Linked DNA regions of Canis lupus familiaris. The main gene of each other region encodes a partner of the protein of the gene in region 2 in a complex. Links are inferred from orthologs where the notes say so. Each region holds a gene or a part of one and is shown on either strand. Other genes may lie near its edges. The genes, in order: SPATA5L1 and CINP.

Region 1 (14,853 bases), on a different chromosome or scaffold from region 2:
AAGGAACATGGAATTAGAAAATCAGCTTTTGGGCAGCCCCGGTGGCTCAGCGGTTTAGCGCTGCCTTCAGCCCAGGGCCTGATCCTGGGGACCTGGGATCAAGTCCCACATCAGGCTCCCTGCATGGGGCCTGCTTTTCCCTCTGCCTGTGTCTCTGCCTCTCTCTATCTCACTGCGTCTCTCATGAATAAATAAATAAAATCTTTTTTTTTTAAATCAGCTTTTTTTAATAGTCACATATAGTACAGGCTGTTTAGGGCAAGAATCATCCATGGATGCAAAACAAGGGGAGTGGAAGTGTGACAAGGAACATGATCTCAAAGGGTCTCCACAGATTTCTATTAGTTACAAAGGGGAAAATAGCAGCTATACAGTGGAGAAACTGGACAAAAAACCCTGACTGGTTGATCATACCAACCACTGATTAAGGATGTCACCAATGAGGAGCAGGCAGCCATTTTGTACCTTCATCTGTGACACCCTAAGGACACACTATCACTTACGGAGTATTCCAAAAGTGCATGTGTAACCTGAATCTGACTATGAAAAAATATTAAGACAAACCCAAATTGAGAGACATTCTATAAAATCATAGACCTGCATCCTTAAAAACTGTCACTGTAAAATGTCTCACTGAAAAAAAAAAGCAGGGGCACCTGGGTGGTACAGTCAGTTAAGCTAGGGACTCTTGGTTTCAGCTCAGGTCATGAGATCAAACCCTGTGTGGGGCTCTATGCTGGGTGTGGAGTCTCTTTCTCTCCCTCCGCACAACCGCCACCCCCAACAACCCCCCCCCCCCGCAACATTTTATCTCCCTCTTGAAAAAAAAAAAAAAAAGCTACGGGAGTATTACAGATTAAAAGAAACTAAAAACTAAATGCAGTATGTTATCTTGAACTAGATCCTGTACTAAAGGGGTAAAAAATGCTAAAAGGATCAAGACAACCACCAAAAATCACAGTATGGGCTGTAGATCTGAGGTTCTGTATCCGTATTAAATTTCCTAAATATGATTACACATAACCATACTGTGGTCACATGTGGGGACATACATTTTCTTAGGAAATGGATAATGAATGGGTTATGATGTATGCAACTCGTCCTCAAATGATTCAGAAAAAGTAGGTAATATATGTGCACATGTACATTTAGAGGCAGAGGAGTGAAAAGGAGAATTATAAAGCTAATTTGGCAAAATGTTAAAAATTGATGAATTTGGATGGAGGGTTTATTGGGAGTGCTCTATTTTGCAACTTTCCCTAAACTTTTTAATTATTTCAAAATAAAGAGTTAAAACCTGAAAAAGGCTAATTTTTTAAAAAAGATTTATTTATTGCCTGCTTAAGCAACAGATACTAAGATTTATTTATTTATTTATTTATTTATTTATTTATTCATTCATTCATTCATTCATTCATTCATTTATCTATTTGAGAGACAGTGTGCAGAAGGGCAGAGGGAGAGGCAAAGAGCATCTCAAGGAGACTCTGTACTGAGCATGCCCCTCTCTGGGCTCTATCTCATGACCCTGAGATCAGGACCTGAGCTGACACCAAGAGTTGGTGCACTACCCAGGCGCTCCTGAAAGACTAATTTTTAAAGAAAGTAAAGTTGAGCATTTTTCATGTTTACTGGCTATTTGTAATCCTTTGCTGTCTACTACCTGTTCATATTTTATTACCCATTTTCTCTTGGATTGTTGGTCTTTTCACGTTGATTTGTGAGAGTTCTTCCTGTATCAAGGTAATTGGTCTTTCTGTCATAGCCCAGAGAGGGGCACGTGCAGTGCAGTCTCCTTGAGATTCTCTCTCCCTCCCGCACACCCTGTGTCTCAAATAAATTCTTCCCAGTCTGTCTTGTCTTTATTTATGTATTGTTCTGCCATCCCCAAATGGTCAAATTAATAAATATTTTCCTTTTTGGCCATTAGGTTTTATGTTATGTTTGGAAATGCCGTGTTCAGGGTGCCTGAGTGGGTGTGGTTGGTGGAGCATGGGTTCTTGGTTTCAGCTCGGGTCATGAGATCTAGCCCCACCTTGGGTTCCAAGCTCAGTGTGAAGTCTGCTTAAGATTCTCTCTCCCTCTGTCCCCCATCCACCCTCCCCCCCATGGCATGTTCTCTCTCTCTCTCAAATAAATAACTTTTTAAAGAAAGAAAAAAGAAAGTTCAGCTTTAAGATTATATTTTAGAGAATTTTTCTTGCAATTTCCTTTATCATTTTAGTAAAGCAGATTTGTTAAAAACTGCTTGTATTTGTAATACCTGTATTATATTTGAGATTTGCCCTCATATCAAATTCTGAACATACAGTTGTCAAAAAATTTCCATTTTCAACAACAAACTATTTTATCCCATTTATAGAAGATTATGTAAGAGTATATATATGTATAGAGCTATTCTGAACAATGTTCCTAAAAATTATAATCTCTGGGGGGGTAGATTTCAGGCAATTTTTACTTTCTTTATAATGTATTCATCTGGTTTAATTTCTCACAAAGAACACCATTAAGTAATTTTTTTAAACAGCTTTTTCTTTTTTTTCTAACTGGCTAGGAGTATTAAATGTTGGGTACCTGAATACTAATTAATTTTTAAGCAACATCAACAAAGATCACTTATATGTACATTATTTCACCTAATTGTCATAACCCTTTCAGACAGACAAAATTCTTTCCCCTCTGTGTATATACGTGTATGTATTAAACTATATTCTAAATCCTTTAGTGGGAGTACTTCACAAAAAGCTGACTTTTTTTAGCCTTTTCACAAACTTTAACATATCCTCTGTCTGCCCTGATAGCAGCAGCAGCTCCTCAGCTGCCTGAGGGGTAAAGATGGAAAAGATGAAGCCAGTACCTTCCTAGATGCCTGTCCCTTCTTCCTTTTTGCCTTTCTTCCTTCCACTTCCCCTGGTTGTTTATGAACTCAGTCATCACCTGTGGTAACTATGCCTGGGCAGGCCGCTCCTGAAGTAGCAGCTGGCTGGTCCACCTAAGCCAGGGTGCTTAAGGTCAAACCTGGAACTTCAAAAGCAGAGGGAATCCTAAGTGTAAATCTCCCTTCAGCCCCTGGTACTCTCATCCTCCCTTCAGAAGGCATATATTCACACCTCCACGCATGAGAAGTATCATTAAATGTTCAAGCAGTTTTGTTTTTTGTTTTTTTTTTATATTTTTTTATTTATTTACTCATGAGAGACACAGAGAGAGAAAGAGAGGCAGAGACACAGGCAGAGGGAGAAGCTGGCTCCATGCTGGGAGCCTGATGTGGGACTTGATCCCGGGGCTCCAGGATCATGCCCTGGGCTGAAGGCAGGTGCTAAACTGCTGAGCCACCCAGGGATCCGACAGCAGTTTTGGTTCTAAATCCAGAAGAGAATTTACAAGTTCACATAACTCCTTCCCCACCTTCAGCGTACATGTAAAAATAAATGAAAATGAGGGATCCCTGGGTGGCGCAGCGGTTTGGCGCCTGCCTTTGGCCCAGGGCGCGATCCTGGAGATCCGGGATCGAATCCCACGTCGGGCTCCCGGTGCATGGAGCCTGCTTCTCCCTCTGCCTGTGTCTCTGCCTCTCTCTCTCACTGTGTGCCTATCATGAATAAATAAAAGTTAAAAATAAATAAATAAATAAATAAATAAATGAAAATGAGCAAGGGTGTAAATTACATAGGTAAAAAGTTTTCAAAATTTTGGATTAATTGTCCTCTTATAATTGAAATTAATTCAAAACTGGTTTTTAAAAATTATAAGATCAAAGGGCAATTTTAATGTTATAATAGTTACAACAGAGATTGTAAACTTCGTCCCAGAATCCTCTGGGGGCTAAAATTAATTTTTTTCTGAAGGTGTTTAGGGATTAAGGATTACTTATTATATACATGGTGAAGAGATTTTTCCAATCCATGGTGCTGAAAATTACTATATTTAAGCTAACATCCTAAATATTTTTAAGAAAGGTAGTCATGGGGACGCCTGGGTGGCTCAGCAGTTGAGCGTCTGCCTTCAGCTCAGGGCGTGATCCCGGAGTCCCAGATTCAGGTCCCATATCAGGTACCTCCCAGGGAGCCTGCTTCTCCCTCTTCCTATGTCTCTGCCTCTCTCTCTCTCTCTCATGAATACATAAAATCTTAAAAAAAATAGTCATGAATTAAAGATTTCAATACCAAAGATAAATTTAAATAAAAATTCCAGGAGTCCAATCTTCTCCTGGGTTAGAAAAGGTTACTTTCCCTACAAAATATTTATTTATTAATAAGGAAAAAAACGGATGCAATGAGAACAGTATTTCTGTGCTCCTCCTGCCAAAAATGCAAAAGCTGAATCAAATCATGAGGAAACACCAGTCAAACCCAAACTAAGGGATAGTCTACAGAATAAATGACATGTAGTCTTAAAAAGTTAGCCACACGCCTGGGTGGCTCAGTCACTTAAGTGTCCAACTCTCGGTTTTGGCTAAGGTCATGATCCTAAGGGTCAGAGGACTGAGACCCACTTGGGTTCTGTGCTCAGTGCAGAGTCTGTCTGTCCCTTTCCCTCTGCTCCTCCCCCTACTCATGTTGTCACTCTTTCTCTCAAATAAATGAATAAAATTTTTTTTAAAAAATTAAAAATTAGGGATGCCTGGGTGGCTCAGCGGTTGAGTGTCTGCTTTTGGCTCAGGGAGTCCCGGGATCAAATCCCACATCAGGCTCCCTGCACGGAGCCCGTTTCTCCCTCTGCCTATGTCTCTGCCTCTCTCTCTCTCTCTCTCTGTGTCATGAATAAATGAATAAAATCTTAAAAAAAAAAAAATTAAAAAGTTAGGCATAAAAGAAAGACTAAGGAATAGTTCTAGATTAAAATATACTAAGAAATCATAACTAAATGCAATACGTAATCTAGGATTACTATTATTCTTTTTTCCTTTTTAAATTTCTGCTATAAAGGAAATTAATGGGACAGATAATGAAATTTAGATAAGGTCTATAGATACTGGGTAAAAGTATCGTGTCAGGATTAATTTCCTCATCTTGATAATTGTATGGTCATTAAAGTCTTTGATTTTAGAAAATATACACTTAAGATTTGAAGGATAAAAGCCCATTATGACTACAGTATACTCTCAAATGTTTCACAAAATATATACATAGAAGAAGAGAGATATATCTATATGCTAATATATATAAAAACACAGATGAAGACAGAAAGATAAAGCAAAACTGGTAAAATGTTACATTTGGAAACTCGGGGTAAAGTATACTATTTCTGCAATTTTAAGCCTGAAACTGCTTCAAAATAAACAAAATTAAAAATTAAAAAAAATATATGTTTGATTCTTCTGGGGCCATCCTTTTCCCTGGCTGTTCTGGGCTTCAGCACTAGGGAGTTACTATGGGAATGGGGGAACATGCCCTGGTAGACCTAGAAGACTCAGCCCTCTGTCCCCCCATATGCCAGTCCCAGAGAGAGGAGATGTAAAAAAATATGTAAGAAATAGCTGTGGAAGGTATCAAAAGTAGCAAGAAAATGTACTTACCACTTGTTTAATCCCCAAATTAGTTTGTTATATTAATGAAGAGATCAACATACATGGTCATATATCAATACTTCCTACCTTCTCACTGTGAAGGAGAGCATGCAGGGCAGCCTCTCTACAAAGTGCAGTCAAGTCTGCACCGACATAGCCAACTGTCATTTCGGCAAGGAGACTCAAATCCACTTGACTGGAGATGGGCATCTTTGAGGTAATCACTTGGAGTATTGCCTTTCTTTGTTTAAGCGTGGGAGTCCCAATGACAACCTATATGCAAAGTAAAAAAAGAAAAATTAAAAGTTTCCAGTTTAAAATATTATGTAATATTTTTATTCTCTCAAATGTGAAAACTTAGTGAACAAATTTGGAATTGGAACGATGTACTCTTAAGCATACCATAAATTCTGAATATATTAAACTCCAGAGGAGTAACACTGGCCAGATAGTTATACAACGAAAATTACGTACAGAGCTTCCTCAACTTAAGATAGGGTTACAACCCAACAAATCCACGGTTAAGCTGGAATTACAGTAAGTGGATAAAGCATTTAACATACCTAACCTACTGAGTATCACAGCTCAGTTTACTTAAATGTATTCTGAGCATTTACATTAGCCTATGGTTGGGCAAAATCAACTAGCAGAAAGCCTATTTTATAATAAAGTTTTAAGTATCTCAAAAAATTTATTGAATACTGTACTAAAGTGTAAAACAGAATGTATGAGTATAAAATAGTTGTCAATGTGTTGGTTGTTTACCCTCATGATCTCCTGGCTGCCCAGCATCACAAGAGAGCATCTTACTGCATACGGCTAGCCTGGCAAAAGACCAGAATTAAAAATTCTAAATACGTTTTCTACCGAATGTGTATGGTTTTCACACCACTGTAAAGTTGAAAAACCATTAAGACGAACCATTGTCAACTGGGGGCCCTCCATATAATCATTAACAATATTTTGTTATTTTTTAGAACCTATCAAGTTCTGGGAGCCAGGGATGCAATAGTAAACCAGTCTAGGTCCCTGGCCTTATGGAGTTGATTCAGGAGACAAGTACTAGATGGTGCAAAAAAGAAATGTGCTCAAGTTCTGCAGAGATTAATCAGAAGTGTGCAACTATCATCCTTTTCTTTAGAAGCCTAACACAAAGTTCAAGCATCACTTAAATTAATCACTATTCAAGCTATTTAATCAAGAATCAAGGGCGTCTGGGTGGCTCAGGTGGTGAAACTGGGGTCCTTGGATCAAGTCCCTCATTCGGCTCCCTGTGGGGAACCTGCTTTACCCTCTGCCTATGTCTCTGGTTCTCTGTGTCTCATGAATAAATAAAATCTTAAAAAAAAAAAAAATCAACTTGGGACTAAAGCTCAGGAAATAGAGGACAGCTTTGAATACTCAAATCTTCCTGGCAACCCAGGGAGCAACTGTGGGTAATTTCTCACTTGTGGGACAGGATGCTGGCCTCCTGACAAGGAATGAACAAATCCAGAATTAATGCCTGTTTTGATTTAGTTCTTCCCTGCCTTTTCCCTTTTTATTTCAATACACTTCTTGAGGCCATCCTACTTTAATTCTCATTCCAAATCCCTAAGAATGTAATACACGCACAGCTGACCTAGTTCCCTTAAAAATTAACGGTACCGATGGTACTCATTTTCAGGATGTGCACCACAAAACTAATCCTAACGGCCACCTGGCTTCTCGGAACAATTTGATTCTGGGGAAAAACAGGTCCAGGCTCACAGATCCCGTAAGGGCAGAGGACGTGCTCTCTGCATTACAAACGGCCCCACTGTACCCTCACTGACTGCCAAGCCTAAGTGGCAAACGCCGGAGGCCACCACCCAAGGCCAGGAGAGGCCGAGGTTCCATCCAGGGCCTTAGGGCGCACAGCCCGGCCCTAATTACCTCTCGGTCAAATCTCCCCGGTCTGCGCAGCGCTGGGTCTAGAGCGTCCGGCCGGTTGGTGGATGCCACGACCACCACGTCCCGGTCCCCACGGATGCCATCCAGCAGCGTCAGCACCTGGGCCACCGCGCGGCTCTCGGGGGCTCGGTGCGCGCCGCCCCGCCGGGGGCACAGGGCGTCCACCTCGTCCAGGAAGAGAAGCGTGGGTCCGCGGCTGGCCAGCTCCCGCGCGCGCCCGAACACCCGCCTCACGTTCTCCTCGGTCTCCCCGGGCCGCGCGCCCTGCAGCGCGGGGGCGCTCACGGCCAGCAGCTCCGCGCCGGCTTCCCGGGCCACCGCCCGCACCAGCTGGGTCTTGCCCACTCCGGGGGGGCCCGCCAGGAGCACCCCTCGCGGCACCGCGAGCCCCAGGGCCGCCAAGGTGCGGGGGTAGCGGAGCGGGAGGCGGAGGAGCTCCCGGAGCGAGTCGGCCGCCTCTGAGAGGCCCCCCAGGGGCGCCTCGGGCTGCGGCTCCGCTCCCGACGGGGGCACCTCGCTGAGGCTGATGCGGGTGCGAGGCGTGACCAGGCCGGCCGGATCCGGGCTGGGCGCCCCGCGGACGATGTGCAGCGCGGCCACCGGGCCGGGGGCCCCCGGTGGAGCGGCCACCACGTGGCCCCGGGAGACCGGTCGGTTCCGCAGAAGCTCCTGCGCCGCCTCCAGCACGGCGGCCGCATCCCGGGCACCTGGTGCGTCCGCGCCCTCCCGCAACACCGGCCACACGGTGAGGAGCCGCAGCGACGGGCAGGGCACCAGGCGGAGGCTGCTTAGGCTGAGGCTCCCCCGAAACCCTGAGGCCCCCACAGCCGTCCCGGGGCTCGCACACTGCGGATCCAGTTGCACAAAGCCGTCGGCTCGGTCCCGCCGCAGCCAGGCGGTGCAGAGACAGGAGCCGCCGTCGGGCAGAGAGATCTTCACCGCCGAGCCCAGGTGCGCGCCCAAGGCGCGGAGGGCGGCCGGGCCCAGGCGGCAGCGCTGGGTGCCGCGGTCCCTAGCGTCTAAGGGTAGCGCCTTCAAGAGCGGCTCTTCGGGAGGGGGACCTGAGTCCGGAGCCATTGCACACACACACTCAAGCCGAGGAAAGTTGGGGGAAGGAGTTCCCCACGGACCGGAAGGGCCGGCACACCAGCTCCTCGGCCGGAAGCAGGTGACGCGCATGCGCCGGAGACAGCCCTCCGTCGCTAGCGGGGGAGCGGAGGCCGAAAGGGCCAATCGGGAAGTTGGGTGATGCTCCGACTGCCGGTGGGGCGGTGTCGGATTCTTCGACTAAACCCAGCGGCCCATTCCAGACCCGTATGGGAAAGGCCTTAGGTACGGGTATCCGGGAGGCCTCCTACGCTAGTTTCAGGAGGTCTTTAACCATGTACCTAGGTGATTTGGAGAGTCCCCCGCAGAGTCGTCTGTCCCTGGCGCTCAGACTCGAGCATCACCGCCAGCGCTTTGGAAGAATCCTCATCTGTCCCTACGGGCACAATATTTTGGAGCGCTCTCATGTTAAAATCTTTTTTTTTTTTTTAAGATTTTATTTATTCATAGAAACAGAGAGAGAGAGGCAGAGACACAGGCAGAGGGAGAAGCAGGCTCCATGCAGGGAGCCCGATGCGGGACTCGATCCCCGGTCCCCAGGATCACGCCCTGGGTTGAAGGCGGCGCTAAACCTCTGGGCCACCCGGGCTGCCCTCATGTTAATATCTAAGGTGACTTGGAGCAGTTGAGAAATACCGCCTTGGTACCTCCGTTGGATCTGGGTTCTTACGTGTTCAGGGAAGGTCCAGGCACGCCCCTCCTCTGGAAAAGCACAGCGTAGCATTTTAAATCCCTGGGAGAGAGAAAGAAGGGAACGCAGCCACCTGACCTAGCTGTGGCACACCAGCACATTCTGCTCCATGCTCTCCTCCTGTGGGGGCCAAGGGCAGGCCGGCCAGACTGGCCCGCAATGGCATACTGATTATTTTGAATTGAAGCTACCTGGGGAACGGCTGGTGCGAGGGCACTGACTCTCCCCTGTCCCCGAAAGCGAGAAAGAAACCTCCATGTGAAAGGTACCCTCTCTGTACTAAGAAGACATCCTCATCACCAGAGATAACGAACTTGAAAGGGGAGAAAGCCGTGGAAACAAACCTTGTGACTTTTTTTTTTTTTACTAACCTACTACCTCAGCCCAAATTCCACTTAGAATTCCTCACTAATTAAAGCTCCCAAACATCTTTTTTTTTTTTTTTATCTTGTCAATTCCTCACAAATGTATTGTCTCTTTGTATAAAAATTTTCTGCCTGGTTTATTTATTTATTTATTTGGTCTCGATTTCATTACTGGGCCTCTGAGCACATAATAATAAAACTTAGGCGTTTCCTCCTTTTAATCGGTCTTGTGTAAATTTAATTCTTACTCCAACTGGAAGAAGGACTTACTCCCTTCTTCCATCTCGAAGGGCAGGGAGAGAATTTTTCCTTCCCTACACTTCTTTAAATGTTCTTTGACAACAGCATGATGGTAACCTCTTCTGTTGGTGTGATAGGTGCTTATTGCCTATTTGCTGCACAGCAGTACTGAGGTCTGTATTAGAGGGGATGCCTGTCTACATTATTAAGACCACTGCCTGCTATTCTCTTTCCACCTTCGTTCTCCCTTCCCCACAGGGGATTACTCCTTTTTTCTTTTTAACTTAAAAAATTGTAAACTTATTTTAATTCCAGTATACTTAATATACAGTGTTATATTATTTTCAGGTATACAACATAGTAATTCAACAATTCCATATATTAGTGCTCATTGAGATGAGTGTACTCTTACTCCCCTTCACCTATTTCATCCATCCCACCCCACCCTCACCACCCCTTCTCTGCTAACTATCAGTTTGTGCTCTATATTTAAGAGTATTTGGGGTTGCCTTTTTTTTCTTCGTTAATTTGTTTCTTAAATTCCACATTTGAATGAAATCATATGGCATTTGTCTCTGACTGGTTTCTGTTGCTTAGCATTATACTCTCTAGCTCCATCCCTGTTGTTGCAAATGGCAGGATTTTATTCTTTTTTATGGCTGAATAATATTCTACTACATACATATACCACATCTACTTTATCCATTCATCTATTGATGGACACATGGGCTGCTTCCATAATTTGGCTATTATAAATACTATTTACAATAATGCATATATCCTTTTAAATTAGTGTTTTCATATTCTTTGGGTGAACACCGAGTAGTGTGATTACTGGATCATAAGGTGGTTTTATTTTTAGTTTTTTGAGGAACCTCCATACTGCTTTCGACAGTGACTACATCAGTTTGCATTCCCACCAGAAGTGCACAGGGGTTCCTTTTTCCCCACATCCTTGCCAACACTTGTTACTTCTTGTGTGTGTGTGTGTGTGTGTGTGTGTGCGTGTGTTTTATTTTAGACATTCTGACAGGTGTGAGGTGATATCTCATGGTGGTTTTGATTTGCATTTCCCTGATGAGTGATACTGAGCATCTTTTCATGGATTCTATCTGTATATCTTCTTTGTAGAAATGTCTGTTCATGTCTTCTGCCCATTTTTTAATTGGATTATTTGGTTTATTTATTTATTTATTTTTTGGTGTTGTTGTGTCAGTTCTCTGTATATTTTGGATATTAACTCTTTATTGGATATGTCACTTGCAAATATCTTCTCCCTTTCAGTAGGTTGTCTTTTAGGCTTCAGTTTTATTTTTGTTTGTTTTTAAATATTTGAGAGAGAGACAGCATGAGCAGGAGGAGGGGGAGAGGGAGAGGAAGAAGCAGACTCCCCACTGAGCAGGGAGCCCAACGTGGGACTCAATCCCAGGACCCTGGGATCATGACCTAAGCCAAAGGTAGACGTTTAATCAAATGAGCCACTCAGGTACCCGCTGTCTTTTAGTTTTTTTTTTTTTAATTGTTTCCTTTGCTGTGCAGAAGCACTTTTTTTTATGTAGTCCCAACAGTTTATTTTTGTTTTTATTTCCCATGCCTCAAGAGACATATCTAGAAAGATGTTATGGCTAATGTCCGAGAAATTACTACCTGTGCTCTCTTCAAGAACTTTTAAAGTTTCAGGTCTCACATTCAGGTCCTTAATCCATTTTGAATTTATTTTTGTGTATGGTTTTAAGAAAGTGGTCCAGTATTTCCAACACCATTTGTTGAAGAGATTATCTTTTTCCCATTGCATATTCTTGCCTCTATCGAATATTAATTGACCATATAATTGTGAATTTGTTTCTGGGCTTTCTAGTCTGTTCTGTTGACCTAAGTGTCTATTTTTGTGCCAGTACCACACTGTTTTGATGACTACAGCTTTGTAATATAACTTGAAATCTGGAATTGTGGGGGTGCCTGGGTGGCTCAGACGGTTAGGCATCTGTCTTTGGCTCAGGTCATGATCTCTGGTCCTGGGATCGAGCCCCATATTGGGCTTCTTGCTCAGCGAGGAGTCTGCTTCTCTCTCTTCCTCTGCCTCTCTGCCCCCTCCCTACTGCTCCTTCTCTCTCAAATAAATAAATAAAATCTTTAAAAAAAGAAAGAAATCTGGTTTGTGATACCTCTAGCTTTGTTTTTCTTTTTTAAGGCTGCCTTGGGTGTTCAGGGTCTTTTGTGGTTCTATACAGATTTTAGGATTGTTTGTTCTAGTTCTGTGAAAAAAAATGCTGTTGGTATTTTGATAGGAATTGCACTAATCTGTAGATTGCTTTGGGTAGTATAGACATTTTAACAATGTTTGTTCTAGAGGATTACTCTTCCTCTGTATCAGCTGGAATATATTTCCTATCCTTTTAAATTCTGTTCAGGAAAAAGAGCTGCATATCTTCAAAGTCAAGAAAATATGCCTTGTTTTTATCTTACATCTCTCTACCTCTATTTTTTGCACTTCACTGCAACCCAAGTTTATGTTTTACAAAATTCATATTGCACAGTGCTTAAGTCACTGGGGCCTGGTGGTTTCTCTCTGCTTATGCAAATAATCTATTGTGGACTCTATAGCAATGTCTTCTTAATGGAAAGTATTGTGAGACCTGGGATCTTAAGACCAATGCCAGTTCCCCCTACCCTACTCAAATCTCAGGGCAGACACTATGACTGACTTCTAGATTCCACATTTATTTATCTGGTTTCTGTTGTTATGTTTCCAGCTCCAGTGCTGGAACATCTTTTTTTTTTTTTTTTAAGATTTTCTTTATTTATTCATGAGAGTCACAGAGAGACAGGCAGAGACAGAGACAGAGGGAAAAGCAGGCTCCTTGCAGGGAGCCTGATGCGAGACTTGATCCCAAGACCCCGGGATCACGACCTAAGCCAAAGGCAGATGCTCAACCACTGAGCCACCCAGACATCCCCAGTGCTGGAACATCTTAAAAGGAATCAGGAAAAAGCATACTATGGGGAGGTTCTGAACTGAGTAAGTCACCCATTACATACCATTTTCTTCTTTCTCATTATCTTATTGCCTTCTGTTCTTTTTGGAGAACAAAGACTCCAAAATCAAACTTTTCAAGAAAAATTTTGTATTTTCTGAAATAAAAGCCAATATTTTTACTAACCCCTGAAGGGGTGAATAAAATACCCATCAAGTTATTCTATCACAGGGCCTGTACTTCACAGATGTTCTTTTATTCTGGTACCAAGAAGCTTTGAGGAGCAAAGAAAAGGGGAGGGCAGAGGAAAGAAGACTTAACTGTATTAACTATGCGGAGAGCTCTCATATAAAAGAGTTAGTAGATTTATGTATATCTACTAGTTAGTAGATAGTTCTACAGTGCAGAACTATCCAGGAAGTGAAAGGTTAATGGAATAAACATGAGTCTTCCTCCTCATCTTTGGAGTATGGTTACATGGAAGAGGTAGGAGACTTTTTATAAGATAGCTGACAGCCATAACCAAAGCCAACATAAATAAATTAAATCAAGATCTTTCAGCATTTGATGCCAGGAAACTACATGTTGTTTTGGGCTCTCTGACCTTATAAGGCCCATATACCCAGGAAATATTTACTTCACCCTATCTCTAAAAGGTCCAGTTCTCACCGTAGGCTGCAAGTAAAAGCAACCAGGAGTCTTGTTTCTGGGCCTTTGGCCCTTATCCACACTCTCTCAGAACGATAACTAGCTTTTCCAGTCAGCCATTGAAATTCACTGAGTCCCTTTAGGTGGAACCATTTGCAACACTATTATTTCAACTATCTTAATGTCCACATTTATCCTACCAAGGATAAATTACAATAGTCTTTTATGATCAATGATGTAGTTTTCTCCTTGTCGAAAACCATTCTAATAGTAGTTATGTGGTTCTTTTGCTTATTTGTTTTTAATATGACTCCAAATTTGGTGATTCTATGGAGTACCAATTAAAGTGCCAAAAGGTGGAACCACTAGAGGGAGTCCAAAACCAAATATGCCCAAAGGCTACGGGATTGTTGCTATTGAAGTGTTTCATTTGTGGCTTCTGTTAGATTTCCCAAGATTCACACTAGGTGTGTGAAACGGTCTGTTGTGTATGCAGTTACTTATTTTCACATAATTTCTACATGTCTCAGGCCATGTAGAACTCACTTTCCAAGTTATAATTCTTGTATTAAATATCAAAATGACACTCTCCCCAATTCAAATTTACTGGTGGATCAAAATCCAAGCAAAATGAATTTATCTTTTGATAGCCTAGAAATAATTCTAGCTCTGAGTTGTTTCAAATATGCTTGCTAAACAAAACCTTTTGTGACGCTTTCTTGAAGAGATGTATTTAACAAATAGTTCCTCTTCATTTTATTTACTACATTCAAGGTTATTACGATCTAATATTAAATTAACTCTAAACATTCTTCATTAGCTATAAGTCTAAATTTCAAAAGATACAACTGGAACCTGCTTATTTTTTAGAATAATGGTTGTACGTTATTTTTGTGCCTTCAGTATCAATAATATTACGTATTAAATAATATATTTCAGGATGTGAAACACGGTAATTGTAAAAAATTTAAAGAAAATGGTTAAGTTAGTAGTGTGAGTCATGAATACTAATCTTTCTTATGTTTCCATTTTCATGTGTGTTCAACCCTAATATTTTTGAACAGTAGGAATGATTATGAGTTGTAATAGATAAGTACAGAGAATCATTTAACCACATTTGAAAAGGCATGATTTGCAAATGCTTTCCTCTCAACCTGTTCATGCAGACATATTAGTGACTTATTTCCACAGATACCTAATATGCCAAACAGTTTCTTAAAGTATGTAATGAAAACCCTCTAAAATAGGGCCTCGTTGAAATAGTTTTTTAAAATTGGACATCTTTAGTCTTTCTCATATCTCAAGACTAGAATTATTCTTTACAAGATACAGAGTCATGAGGCAATTAGAGCCACCAGAAATCTTGGCTGGATTACAAATGACCTG
Region 2 (15,022 bases):
AACAATTAAAGACGAAGATCTTCTGAGGCCTTGTGCTCTCCTCTCATGCTCTTGGTCTCAGGGCACAGGACTGCCACCTTGCACAAAGCCCAGGGCCACCTTCCTCTTTCCCACATTGTCCCACTTCCTTCATACCCTGAACTTCCTCATTCAATCCTCTCTCTGAACGTCCTTCCCCTTCTCCCCAAGCCTATTAAAACCTGCCCCATTACCGTCAGACCCTCTGAGGATCCAAATGCTAAACCCCCAATTTCTCATGTGCTCTGGACTAAAGCTGAATTCGGAGCTACAGTCAAAGACTTTCCCAAAGTGAGATTTGGGAATCTTAGATTTGCTGAAAACCCTTGTAGATCCTCAGAGATTTGCTGAGTTGCTTAATATGGTGATTCAAACTTATCAACCCAATTTCTGAGATTTATACCCACTATTACACACGTGTGCTGTCGAGGGCCAGTCCCAGCACTGGGTGAACCTGCCACTCGGGAGGATGCTGGTGAGAGAGGACGCCAATGACCTCCATTCTGACCTCAGTCAGTACTTCCTAGATGACTAAGTTCTCCTTTCCAGCTTATCTCTTAACTCAGGCAAGAGAACCAGCTGGCAAAGCAACCTGTGAGGGGAACCAAAACTATTCCCTCAAGCAACAAGGATGCCCCGAGTCAGCAGGACCCCTGATGACTGACCCCAAGGCGATAAGACCTGACCTTCACTGCCCCCTGCACGCACCCACCAACCTTTGTCCCACATTCTCCTTATATAAACCTGGAGGCATCTTCAGCACTTTGGAGAGGGTCTTTGAGACATGAGTCCACCTGCGTTGGGCTCACTGAAATAAACTCCTATCTTGTGTCACTACCACCCGTCTCTGCCTGTGGATTTTGTCAGCAGTGAGTGGCCCAGCCTGGTCTGTTTGGGAGCCCGGAGCCAGATGCTCATGCAGCCCTGCATGCTGGCCGCATGGAAAGATCTTTAGCACCATAGATGGGACACTATCCCCTGCCTTGCTATATTATTGAGTTCCTGCGGGCGCTAAGGGATGCCCAAAACCTGCTGAATGCACTAAGATTCAAGCTTGTACCCAAAAGCCCAATGAACTCATGTGTGATTATTACAGCTGGCTCCAAATTGTTGTTTTTTTGGTTTTTCTTTTCTTTTCTTTTCTTTTCTTTTCTTTTCTTTTCTTTTCTTTTCTTCTTTTCTTTTCTTTCTTTTCTTTTTTTGAGGGAGAGAGACAGTGTGTGCATGCATGTGTACAGATGGGACAGGGCTAGGCAGAAAGAAAGAGAGAAAATCTTAAGCAGACTCCACACTCAGCATGAGCCTGATGCAATACTCAATCTCATGACCCTGAGATCATGACCCTAGCTAAACTCAAGAGTTGGATGCTTAACCAATTGAGCTGCCCAGGCGCCCCTCCAAACCGTTTTTAAAGAAAACTCTGGTCTTCCTTTAAACACTGTATCCACTTGGATTTGGATAGTTTTATTTGGATAAAAGTATCCAATGGGTAGTTTTTTTTTTTTTTTAAGATTTTATTTATTTATTCATGACAGACACACAGAGGAAGAGACACAGGCAGAGGGAGAAGCAGGCTCCATGCAGGGAGCCCGACGTGGGACTTGATCCCGGGTCTCCAGGATCACACCCCGGGCTGAAGGCAGCGCTAAACTGCTGGGCCACTGGGGCTGCCCAGATGGGTAGTTTTTAACTCTATGTTCATTAATGGGTCAAACTGGGATCTTCCCCTTCTAGTTAAAATCCCGGGACTCCAGGATCACGCCCTGGGCCGAAGGCAAGTGCTAAACTGCTGAGCCACCCAGGCGTCCCTATTGGAAAGAGATTCTTGATCCCAGTACTTGGGAAGGTCAAGAAGACTTAGCTTTTTTTTTTTTTTTTTTTTTTTTTTTAAGACTTAGCTTTTAATACCTAAAAGAAAGCTTAATAAATCCCCCTGCCCTTGGCCATCCCAATTATCAACTTTCCTTTTTCCCACCTATATATGAAAAGGAAGGGAACTCCCTGGGATTACCCACCCAAGGTAATGGTGGATCTCCCAGGTATGGGGATCACCATCAACCCCATAGGGCATTACAGCCAACAACAGGCCCTGTGGGACCAGGCACCATACCTCAGAGCCATTCCCACCACCACCCTTTTGGCTAAGGGCAGTGAGGAGACAGTCTGGGACCCCAGTAGCCATCCCATGCCCTGGACAGTAGAAGCCCTCCTGAACACCCTTCACCCTCTGGCCAGTTGTCCCCCTCCTATGAAAGCCTCTTCCTAACCTCTCCTCCCAGAACTCCTCGCTGCAGTCACCTCCCTGCTCATGCCAACTCTGCAGATCGTGACTCCCCTCCATGATGACTGACAGGAGGCTCCTTTGCATGACACTGACTTCTCATGGTTCCCTGATGGTTTTTAGGTGAGAGGTAGAAATGGCGAATGTTGTGCTGGATATGTACTTGCAACTCCCTTTGAAGTAACTGAGCAATACTTTTGCCTTAGGCTACTTCTCTCCAACAAGCTGAGCTGTACACCCTCACACGGCATGCTCACCAAGGGCACAACTGCCTACATTTACTCTGACAGCAGATATGCCTTCAGAGTGACTCACAATTTTGTGATTATGGAAACAATGCGGCTTCCCACTTTTAGCAGGGAGAAATTTTCAAATGGATTTTATGTCCAAAATTTATTAGGTGCTATACTCCTATCAGCTGCTCTGGCTATTATTATTTTTATTAGAGAGAGAGAGAGCATAAAGGGGTGGGGGGAAGAGGGAGAGAGATAATTTTAAGCAGGCTCCATGCCCAGCACAGAGTCTGACGTGGGGCTTGATCTCATGACGCTGAGATCATGACGTGAACCAAAATTAAGAGTTGTAGACACCCAGGCCCCCCTGCTCTGATAAAGGTTCCTGGGCATTCCACACTTGACTCCCTGGAGGCTAAAGGGAACCATCTCAGTGATATTTCCACCAAGAATGCTCTTCTCAAAGGAACCAACAACCATACCTCTGTTGTGGTCCAAAGGGATGTTTCCCCAAATGACAATCTAGAAGAACTGGCTAGAGATGGCCCCAGAAAAGGAAAAACAAAATTGGAAATCTGGTAATTGTTAGTTTGATAAAAAGAGAAAACTCTGGGCCAAATAATAGTCCAGTCCCGCCAGAGACTCTAAAATTCCTATTACTGACCACTGTGCACACCGTCATTGTTCTGCTCATAAAATGACCTTTGTAAATCACTACTGGTGGGGAATATTAATAAGGCCATAAAAGGTGCCTACTTTGCTTGTCCCCAACTGCCCAAACTGCAATCCTGGGAAACCTGTCCACACTGTACCCGGGAATTTTAATTGCCCTATGGACCATTTGAGGTTTGGTGAGTGGATTTTATTACAGCTCCCCCATCTCATGGATACATATGTTTTAGCCATAGATTGTATGTTTTCCCACTGAACTGAGGTTTTCCCTTGTGGGCAGGCTACTGCCGCCTCTGCAGCTAAAATTCTAAGAGAAAAGATCATTCCTACCTGGAGGACCACCCTGGGACTTCACAGTGACTAGGGAACTCTTCACTGGTCAGGTGATGCGACCAGTCTGTGCTACGTGGCTGGTTTTACAACACTCTCACTATATTTACCACTCTCAATCCTCAGGACCAATTGAACTGGCACCATTAAGAGGTAGCTGGCAAAAATCTGTAAACTACTTTGGCCAAAGGTACCGCCAATGGTCATTTTAAATCTCAGGTCTACTCCTTTCGGAATTCATCAACTCTTACCCTTTGATATAATCACAGGACACCCAATGTACTTGGCTCTTGCTTCTTTTGATCCACACGTGATAAAAGGAAACATACTTCAATACTGTAAAAGCCTTACTACTTCTATTGAAAATAACTATGCTTTAGTAGAGCAATCCTTTTACAGCACGCTCCTGGGAGACAAAGACCTCAAACATCACAGCTACAACCTGGAGATCTTGTCTACTAGAAAAATGAATAGACTTTTGGATTCATTTGTCACATCCAAAGAAAGCACCAAACCCTGACTGGACCTGCACACCAACTGGTGACACGAAAATACAAATTTGCAGGAATTGAAGCAGGCCACTGAAGCAGATAGCTTTCCTGGGATTACCAGACCAGACCTACATATACATTCTTTCCTTTGCTCTTCTCACTCTTACTTCACCCCCTCTTTCTTCTTCTTCTTCTTTTTTTTTAAAAAGATTTGTTTATTTTTGATAGATATATATATAGAGAGAGGCAGAGACACAGGAGGAGGGAGAAGCAGGCTCCATGCCGGGAGTCCGACGCGGGACTCGATCCCAGGACTCCAGGATTGCGCCCTGGGCCAAAGGCAGGTGCTAAACTGCTGAGCTCCCAGGGATCCCCTCCTCTTTCTTCTTCTTTCTCTCTTTTCTTTTCTTTTTTTTTTTTTTTGAGAGAAAGAGCATGCATACAAGTGGTGGGGGTGGGGAGGAGAAGGAGAGAGAGGATCTCAAGCAGGCTCTATACCCCGCATGGAGCCCAACATGTGGCTCTACCTCACAACCCCAGAGATCATGACCTGAGACAAAACCAAGAGTTGGACGCCCAACTGAGTGAGCCACCCAGACGCCCCTCACCCTCTTTTTCTTGGAAAGTCAATGCCCCAATCGCATTTCCCAATCGCCTGCAGAAGGAGGAAACCTGACTATTGGATCTGTCACCAGAAGCTCTGATCTGTTCACAATATTGGAGACTGGTCTTACCTATAACCAATTTCCTTCTAGTGCCAAATGCCACTGTTGATTACACCCACAAGCCTATAGATGTTACCTATCAAGTTAGGCTATTATACCAGGCATTCCCATATTTGCTTCAGCCTTTCCCCAGTCGTAACCACACTAGCTCAGTTAAATCCCTCCATCTTTGTTAATTGTACAATCCCACATTCTTTTCCTTATCTAAGTGAGGTCTCCTACACCTAAAGGAAATATAAACAAGTTTATGCCCCTTTGCAAATTTTTAGAAAAGATTTCTTTTTTTTTTAATTTTATTTATTTATGATAGGCACACAGTGAGAGAGAGAGAGAGAGGCAGAGACATAGGCAGAGGGAGAAGCAGGCTCCATGCACCGGGAGCCCGATGTGGGACTCGATCCCGGGTCTCCAGGATCGCGCCCTGGGCCAAAGGCAGGCGCTAAACCGCTGTGCCACCCAGGGATCCCCTAGAAAAGATTTCTTAATGAAGGGATGGCCTCTCATAGAATGTCATCCCAATTCCTTTCATCCCTGGATTGAAAAGGTCAATCGGGAAATTCCAACTATCAATAATAAGACCTTAGCTGGAGTCCCCTGGGTACCACCTGGTTTCATTTTTGTTTACAGTGGACAGCATTTTCCATAGGCATACAAATGCTTAGACAGTTGGCAACTTGGAAGTCAATGTTTATTGTTTATAACAAATAAACAATAACAAACCAGAGGCCTCCGCTGACCTGCCACATTAGGCCTCCAAGGCTCTCTTAACTGGGAACTTCAGGGGGCTGTACGACTCCTGGTTTCGCCTCTGTAGGGAGGCTTTTCCTCTGTAGTTGGAATAAGAGCAAATGAACACATGATCAGAAATCTCTCCCTAACATTAGAAGAGGTAGCCGATTCTACAGCCAAAGCAAGAACAGCTCGACAATGATCACATGACTTGTTGGCTAAAGGAAGCTTTGGACAATCTACTTGCTGAACAAGGAGGCATTTATGCAATGGCAAATACCACCTGTTTGTTGCACCTGGATAAATATGTCTGGAGAAAGAGAAACCCAGTTACACAAGATCAGGGAAGGAGACCTCTGATTACAACAAATTTCACCCAATGACCTCTGGTCTTTTGATCTATTTAGCTGGTTACCTTCAGGTTTGAGCTCCTGGTTTAGAACCATCATCCTGGATTTGTCATATTACTTTTAATTCTGCTTTGTATGATTACTTCTAAACTTTGTACCCATTGCCTGTCAAAACTTTGCAGGAACAGATGTACCAAACAGTGTGATGCTAGCTGAGGGCTTCCAGATGCTCTCCAACACTTAACCTCGTAAGAAAGAGATTTTAGATGGGAAATGCTGAGTCCTCCCTCGTACTCTTTCTTGTTACTCACAGGTGGCCTCAGTAGTTTCTAGTCATTATGCACTTTCCTTCCAACCAGAAAGGTCCTTCCTGGCACCCAGGGACAAAAGCCACTATATACGGAAAACCTGACTCTTGATAAAGTGATGCTTTTGAGAAAAGACCTTGATCTAAAGGCAGAAATGTGAAAATAAAGGAAATCTCCTGTAAAATAGAGTCAGAAAGCCCTGGAGAGGGGGGTGCTTACACATGTTACCACTTGCTGCGGCCCTGCACAACAAGGAGGAATAAAAAGATAAGAATTATCTCAACAACGGAGGACATATTTCACATAGGAATTTTATTTCCTGCTTCTAAGAAAAGGAAGAGCCCTCCCTCCCTGCCCCAGTAATAATGCATTAACTGTCGCCTACAGCCAAGGGAGAAACCACTGTGCAGAAACCACTAGACCTCAAACTCTTGTTCTTCTCCAATACACTTGTTTACAGTAACCCTTCCCAGTTTCCCCCTGAAACCTAATGAATGCTGGCCTTCCATTTGTCTCTTCAAACTTGCCTATAGTTCACTGTAGCTTGCCTATCCCAAATTGCAATTCCTCTGCTGTGGTTGAATAATTTTTTTTTTTTTTTTTACTTAAATAAAATTGCTCTTTGCTCTGTTTAAAATGAACAAACTTTAGTTTAATAAGTCTTAACAAACTAAGATTTTTATGGTCTTAGTTGGAGAGCAAACATGAAATGTAAGTATACATTTATTTTTCTTTCCATCAGAACGAGCCAGATGGAAGAGATACAGGGGACAAGGTATGCGGAAAGGGGCATAGAGTCTCCATGCTCTGTGAGTAGTACACCATTCTCCTCAAATCTCCACATGTTCATCAACCTAGAGCTCCCCAAATCCCATCCTTGTCAGCTTTTATGGAGGCTTCATTGCATAGGCATGGTTGATTAAGTCACTGGGCAGTGCCCATTGATTGAACCTCCAGCCCCTCTCCCCTGGAGGCACAGGGGAGTCAGGTGGGGCTGAAAATTCTAACCCTTTAATAATCACATGATTGGTTTCTGTAGGGGGGAACCAGCCCCCATCCAAAGGTCACCTTCCCAAAAGTCACCTTATCAACATAACAAGACATCCTGCTCATTCTCACACTGCAGAAACACCAAGGGTTTTACCTCTGTGCCAAGAACAAGAAAAAGACCAAATATTTTCTTATTATAAACCACAATATCACAGCCTGTTATGCAAGTCCTTTCTACCACTTCTCCAGCTTCCCCCAGCTTGCTCTCCATGCCTTAGGGCTAGCTCTGTACAAGTTCTGACTTTGACCTAGAATATTTCCCCTGGCCATGTGTGTCTCCACTCACTTGGCTAACTCCTAGTATTCTTTAAGGCTCTGCTTATTTAAGGATCATATTGGTTTTCCCTTCATTCTTTACTTATACCACTAACCAACAATATGCCAGGCACGGGGGATGAAATGACTGAATGAATCATACCAGGACCATTTTCATGGAACTTACTTTCCAAAGAGGAGGTGGATAATAGACAACCAAATGACCATGACCAATTTGTATCTTGGTAAGTGCCCGGATAGAAAAGAAAATGGGGTCTTGTGTTAGAGTGAACCCCTGAAGAGATGTTATTTAGGCTTGTTGAAAGGTCAACAGTATGGGTCCTAATGTGAGAATGAGCTTGGTGAGTCTGAAAAACTGAGCAAGGCCAGTGTATCTACGATGAGGGCAGAAGCAGAAAAATGTTCACCTTTAGCCCAGAAGGCTGACCTTTAGTCTACATAGTTCTGAACAAAGATCAAATATGTACTGGTTAAAAAAAATAATAATAATAAAACGTGCTGGTTGCTACATTCTTTTTTTTTTTAAGTTTTTGGTTTTTCTTTTTTTAAAGATTTTATTTATTTATTCATGAGAGACATAGAAAGAGAGGCAGAGACATAGGCAGAGGGAGAAGCAGGCTTCCTGTAGGAAGCCTGATGCGGGACTTGATTCCAGGACTCTGGGATCTCGACCTAAGCCAAAGACTTAGCTCAACCACTGAGCCAACCAGGTGCCCCTGGTTGCTACATTCTTTTTTTTTTTTGTAATTAATTAATTAATTTATTTATGATAGTCACACAAAGAGAGAGAGAGAGAGAGAGGCAGAGACACAGGCAGAGGGAGAAGCAGGCTCCATGCACCGGGAGCCCGATGTGGGATTCGATCCTGGGTCTCCAGGATCGCGCCCTGGGCCAAAGGCAGGCGCCAAACCCCTGCGCCACTCAGGGATCCCGGTTGCTACATTCTTAAAGGGTCTCATAACTGTCTGTAAATCTCACTGATAGTTAATATCGAACTGAATGATAAGCACCAGAGAAATGTTGCAAAAGTAGTTTTATGGGTAGAAATTCAAGGAAACATGTATAATACCCTCTGCATGTCTCCTCCCCCTTGACCACTAAGCATATAACCACCAGCTTCATACCGCAAAAATGCAGCCCTTTCTGCCCACAGGTTCTGTCCCCAGGCTACTTAAATAAACTTACTAAGTTGCACCACGCAACATCCCAAGAATTCTTTCTTGACTGTTGTGCTCCATGACCCCACATCACTTATAATGGAAGGGTGGTGGGGAGGGATCTGGGTGAGGAAGCGGTCAAGCAAATGGAACCTTACATACTAAGATAAAGAGTTTAGGTTTATTCCAAGTCAGTGGAAAGGAACCAATAAGCTTTGAGTAGGAAAGTGATATGATCTGATTTAGGTTTTCAGAAAGCCACTCCTTCCACAAAGAAATCTTCCTGGATCTCCCAGGTTGGGTTAGGACTCATTGCACTAGATGTCGCACCTCTTCTTGAACTATCACCGACACTCACTAGTGTGGTAGACTTGCTGGGTGGACTGTGAGGCCACCCGAATAGTGACTATGTCTTGTTTCCCTCTCCTAACCTAGACACACAGTAGGTGACAAATGAAATGTGTTAAATGGAGAAATAGCTTTTACCACCTGCACTATCATCTCCTAAGGGTTTCTCTCCTGCAGTAGGCGCTCCTTGAGGGCGAAGACCACATCTGATTCATTCTCCGTCTGCTCCATATTTAGCAACCCAAACCACAGATCTAACTCCAAGGGACCCCAGGCCAGGAGGGAAAGAGACCAGGAACGAGAGGCCCAGCACAGAGCAGAGAGGTTCAGCATAGCGGCTCCCTCCCTGATCCTCCCAACCTGCGCACGTTACTACGTGGGATCAAGGTGAGGCTCAAACGAGCTGACCCACAGAGCACTAAGGGCACCACACGGCACGCAGCGAGCACTTCGCCGATTGACAGCTCTTATTAGAAGCAAAGGGCTCTGTGCGGCGGGTAATCCCGAGGGGAACTCAGGGAAAGGTTTTGGGAGGAGCTGGGCATGCAAGCCCTGGCACCCGAGCACCCCCGCTAGCGCTAGTTTACAAAGACAATTACAATTTGGGGGGTCAGGATGTGCTGACACTCCCTCGCACACATCCAGTAGTTCTACGCGGGAAGACCACAGAGGCCCGGTCAAGCCGGTGGGCTCCGGGACCGCCCGCCGAGCCGCAGGACGCTCCCCCGCGCGCGCGCACCCACCTGCCATGCGTCCGCAGGTATCCCGGGAAGGAGCGCGAAGCCCCGCCCACGCCTACCGGAAGCGCGCTGACGTGCTTCCGCTCCGCGCCGCTGGCCGGCCGCCACTTGTGGCTCTGCCGCTCTAGCCCCCGCCTGTCGCTCAGCTGGGCCTGGCGCGGTTGCCTAGGGAACGGGCTCCCGGCAGCCCCCGCGGCCCGGAGTCCGTCCCCGCCTCCTCCGGCCGGGCCCGGCCGACGAGTCCGGAGGGGCCGCCGCGGGAGGTGAGTCCCCTTCCTCCGCGCCCCTTCCTCGGCCTCCCCGGGGCCGCCCTTCCCTGGCCTCGGCGCCTGGGGTCGCCCTGCCCGTCTCGCCCGCGCGCCAGCACCTGAGGCGCCAGGCTGGGCGGTCCTCCGCCGCATCCCCGGGCCCTCATCCCTCATCCCTCATCCCTCATCCCTGGGCCGTCATCCCTCATCCCCCGTCCCGCGTCCTCGGTCCCCCTGCCGGCCCGCCCGCGGCGCCTGCCTGCCTGACGTTGCGCCCGGTCCCCCGACCCTCCGCGCCCTGGCGCTGCTGGCGTAGACCTGGGCACGCACCCCCAGGTGTTCAGGAGGGTGAATGCCCCCCCCCCCCCAGTCCTGCCTTAAGGCCTGGGAGGCTTCAAGGAGGGGGTGCCCCGGCTTCAGACCCCCCAGCCGTGCGCTCGGCGCAGGTGATGCCACGTCGCTGCGCTGCAGCTTTATCATCCGTTAAACGGGGATGATAACGCCTTCTACGCCTGGGTGGGAGGATCAGGTGGGTCCGTGCGTGCGAAGTGCTGAGCACCGAGCCTGGCACCTGATACACTTCACTAAAGGGTCGCCCCTTGCTGTGGTTGCCCACATGCTCTACTTCCACTTCCCTTCCCTGCTCTGGATCCTTCCTCACTCTCTCGCTGACACTCAGGAATCTTAAGTCTGTTACGTTTGTTCCTTCTGTTCCATCTGCTGGCGGGACTGTGGGGTCCCAGCCTGGGTGCACGCTTTATCTGCTGGAGTGATGCGTTGCACTTGGGGGTGACCCCACCCCCACCCACCCCCGCGCACTTCTTGCAAACACAGCATGAGCAGAATCTGGGAGTAAAGCCACTGTATCCTGTGTAGTCGCCAGTGTCTCCTAAGCTGCAGGGCTTTTTGTGTTTTCTCACACCCAGTGAAGTGCACCTTGATAGGGTTTCTGACCTTGTAGGGCTTTTTGTTTTGTTTTGTTTGAAATGTCAGCTTACATCCCATGTTCGTTCATTCACCAGGGATTATTCGGGGTCCCTTGAATGTCAGCCATGTGCTAGGCTCTAGGGATGCTGTGGTCCCAGTCGCTGCCCACTGCCCTCAGGGAGCTTTCTAACCAGAGAACCAGCCTGTACAAATAGGGGGGATGCTCTCCCTGAGTTTTCAGGACTGGCCTTGAGACTATGGTGGAGAGGATGGGATACGGATAGCCCTCCTGGAGGAGTGACTAGCAAGTGGTTTTCAGAGGTTTAAGTTATTTTGGAGCCACATTGTCTTTCTCTTTTTTTTTTTTTTTAAGATTTTTATTTATTTATTGAGACAGAGAGAGAGGCAGAGACACAGGCAGAGGGAGAAGCAGGCACCATACAAAGAGCCCGACGTGGGACTCGATCCCCGGTCTCCAGGATCACGCCCTGGGCTGCAGGTGGCGCTAAACCGCTGGGCCACCCGCGCTGCCCCACATTCTCTTTCTCAGTAGAAGACTGGCTTCTACTGATTTGTTTTCCAGTTTTCTCCTAGGAAGGTAACACTTCAAGTTTGGATTTTATATTAGCCTCTGGATAGTTTGGACAAAATGGTTCCTGGCCCTTGGGGGAAAAAAAGAAGGAAACAGCATCAGTTGATTGAACTTGGAAAAATGAAGGACAAATCAGGTATCAGTTGTACACATAATGAAAACAAGCATGGAGAGATTTCTAGATACAGTGAAGCACAAGGAGCTTGGTAGAATCAGGAGGGAGTAGTTAACAGCTCTGTGGACCCGAGGTAGAAGTGAGCAGTTGTTCAAAGTGTGTGTTCAGTTTAAACGCATGTGTTATTTGGGCCTGGACTTAAGAGACCAGTGAATTTTTGCATAACAGTGGATGTATATTTGGGCTGTCATACCTGGGGAGTCCTGGCAAGGTGTTTTGAGAGTTTAACAAATAGTTGCCGAGTACAGTATTGACCATACTGTGTTGGTCTTTGGAAGCACCACAAGGAATGTAGACTAGAAGGACCCGGGTGAAGTCCACAAAGAGTCCATTAGAGAAGTTGGAAAACAAAGGATGGACTGCTGTGTGATAATGAGGTGCTCAGTGTTCTCTGACAGCAGAGAAAGACAAACTAAGTGTCAGAGGGAGTCTGAAGGTTTCCTAGGGGAGAAGTACTTCTTACAGGGTGTGTTGGGGGGGGGGGGCTTTGCAAAGGCATAGGCCATGGTATGTTCAGGGACTGTGGGGAGAAGCTCATTGCAGCTGCAGTGTAGAGTGTGTGGGAGGAAGAGTGGCCTGGCATCAAGCTAAGTACAGATCTTTTTTTTTTTTTAAAGATTTATTTATTTGAGAGAGAGAGAGTATGCATACAGGGGGAGGGGCAGAGGAGAGAGTCTCAAGTAGACCCTGTGCTGAGTGCAGAGCCCAGCATGGGGCTGGATCTCACCACTCCGAGATCAGGAGCCAAGCCAAAATCAAGAGTCAGATGCCTGATTACCCCATCCAGGCACCCCCAGACAATTTTTTTTAAAGATATTATTTATTTATTCATTAGAGAGAGTGAGAGAGAGAGAGGCAGAGACACAGGCAGAGGGGGAAGCAGGCTCTATGTAGAGAGCCCGACATGGGACTCGATTCCTGGTCTCCAGGATCAGGCCCTGGGCTGAAGGTGGCGCTAAACCGCTGAGCCACCTGGGCTGCCCGCCTTATTGATTTTAAAGATTGGATTGAGAATATTCTTTTGCAGTAAGACCTGAAGTTAACATTTTGTTATTCATTCAACAAATCTTTATTGAGTATCTACTCTGTGCCAAAGATATTGTTAAGTACTAGGGTTTGCATCTGTTGCGTATATTTTCATGAGCGATGGTCATTAAACTGCTTAGCAGATGAAGTGACTAAAGATTGTGATAAGAATATGAAGGACATACACAAAATGACATGACAGGGAGGAGGGGCCAAAGACCTGCAAGCCATCTGCTCAGCAAAGCCGGCCCTTGTGAAGCCAGGTTTGTGGGTGAGATGAAAGTTCACTGGAGTTGAGGGCATAGAGGCCTGAGGAGGGAAAGAGTGGGTCAGTGCAGCAAGAGCTTGGCCAGGTGGGGATCCCTGGGTGGCTCAGCGGTTTAGCGCCTGCCTTTGGCCCAGGGCACGATTCCGGAGTCCTGGGATCGAGTCCCACGTCGGGCTCCTGGCATGGAGCCCGCTTCTCCCTCTGCCTGTGTCTCTGCCTCTGTCTCCTCTCTCTATGACTATCATGAATTAAAAAAAAAAAAAAAAAATTTTTAAAAAGAGCTTGGCCAGGTGGGGAGGGACAGGGACTTGAGGGGCAGCCAGGAAAGCATTTGGTTTTTCTCCGAGCACTGGGGAACCCCAGAAGAATTTTGAATAGGATGGGTAGCAATGAGACCCACCCATTTCTCTTTCAAATAATTCTTAAAAAAAAAAAAAAAAAAGACTATTTTTTCAGAGCGGTTTTAGGTCCACAGCAAAGTTGAAGACAAGGTGTGAAGATTTCTCATATACCACTGCCCCCCCCCCCCCATGCATATCTCCCCCAGTATCAGTGTGAGGACTTTTGTTACAATTGATGACTCTACACTGACACATCATGATCAGCTGGACTCCACCATTTACTTTTAGGGCTTACTTTCGGTGGTGTATGTTCTGTGGGCTTGGACAAATGTATGACAGGCGTCTGTCATTATAGCATCAGTATTTTCACTGCCTTAAAAATCTGTGCTTTCATTTATTCAGCTTATTCATCCCTTCTCCTCCCCCCACAGCCCCTGACGGCCATTGATCTCCTTACTGTCTCCCTAGTTTTGCCTCATGCAGAATGTTACATAGTTGGAATAATACAGGATGTAGCCTTTTCAGATTGGCTTCTTCCACTTAGTAATATGCATTTAAGGCTCCTTTCTTTTCATGGCTTAATAGCCAGTGTCTTTTTAATGCTGAATAGAATTTCATCATCTGATGTACCGCAGTTTATTTATACATTCACCTACTAAAGGACATCTTGGTTGCTTACAGATTTTGACATTTATGAATAAAGCTGCTATAAATATCTGGGTGAAGGTTTGCGTATGAACATAAGTTTTTAACTCCTTTGGATAAAAACCAAGGAATATAATTGCTGGGTGATACAATAAGATTATGTTTAGTTTAGGGTTTTCTTTTCTTTTCTTTTTTTTTTTTTTGTAGATACTATGCCCAATATGGGACTCGAACTTAGAACCCCAAGATTGAGAATTGCATGCTCTACAGATTGTGCCAGCTAAGTGCCCCAGATTATGTTTAATTTTGTAAAAAAAAACAAAACAAAACACCAAATTGTCTTCAAAGGGGCTGTGCCACTTCACATTCCTACCAGCAATGAATGAGAGTCCTCATTGCACCACATCCTTATAGGCATTCGGTGTTGTCTGTGTTCGGAATTTTGGCTATTTTAATAGGCGTGTATCTCATTTTAATTTGCATTTCTCTGATGACATATGATATAGAACACCTTTTCATATGCTTATTTGCCATCTGTATATCTTCTGATTGTTTCTTGTTGAGTTTTAAGAGTTTTTTGTATATTTTGGGTAATGGTCCTTTGTCTGGTGTGTCTTTTTTTTTTTTTTTAATTTTTTATTTATGATAGTCATACACAGAGAGAGAGAGAGAGAGAGAGAGGCAGAGACACAGGCAGAGAGAGAAGCAGGCTCCATGCACCGGGAGCCCGACGCGGGATTCGATCCCGGGTCTCCAGGATCGCGCCCTGGGCCAAAGGCAGGCGCCAAACCGCTGCGCCACCCAGGGATCCCCGCCACCCAGGGATCCCCTGGTGTGTCTTTTGCAAATATTTTCTCCCAGTTTGTGTATTGTCTTCTCGTTCCCTTGAGACTGTCTTTTGTGGAGCTTTTTAGTTTAGTTTTTTTTTTTTTTTTAAGATTTTATTTATTTATTCGTGAGAGACACAAAGAGAGAGAGAGAGGCAGAGACACAGGGAGAGCGAGAAGCAGGCTCCATGCAGGGAGCCTGATGCGGGACTTGATCCTGGGTCTCCAGGATCATGTCCTGGGCCGATGGCAGGCACTAAACCAC

What was found.
Region 1: CINP (region 2) and SPATA5L1 share a complex: the UniProt entries of both Homo sapiens proteins name them as parts of the 55LCC heterohexameric ATPase complex. The link is inferred for Canis lupus familiaris from reciprocal best matches to the Homo sapiens genes CINP and AFG2B.

The regions. Positions count from the first base shown.
Region 1 is NC_049251.1:12,045,950-12,060,802, reverse strand, and holds the start of SPATA5L1 (spermatogenesis-associated protein 5-like protein 1), read right to left. Parts: upstream 8,519-14,853; coding exon 7,424-8,518; intron 5,783-7,423; coding exon 5,597-5,782; intron 1-5,596. UniProt on the Homo sapiens protein: ATP-dependent chaperone part of the 55LCC heterohexameric ATPase complex which is chromatin-associated and promotes replisome proteostasis to maintain replication fork progression and genome stability.
Region 2 is NC_049229.1:70,730,637-70,745,658, forward strand, and holds the start of CINP (cyclin-dependent kinase 2-interacting protein), read right to left. Parts: upstream 9,855-15,022; 5' UTR 9,719-9,854; coding exon 9,712-9,718; intron 1-9,711. UniProt on the Homo sapiens protein: Component of the DNA replication complex, which interacts with two kinases, CDK2 and CDC7, thereby providing a functional and physical link between CDK2 and CDC7 during firing of the origins of replication.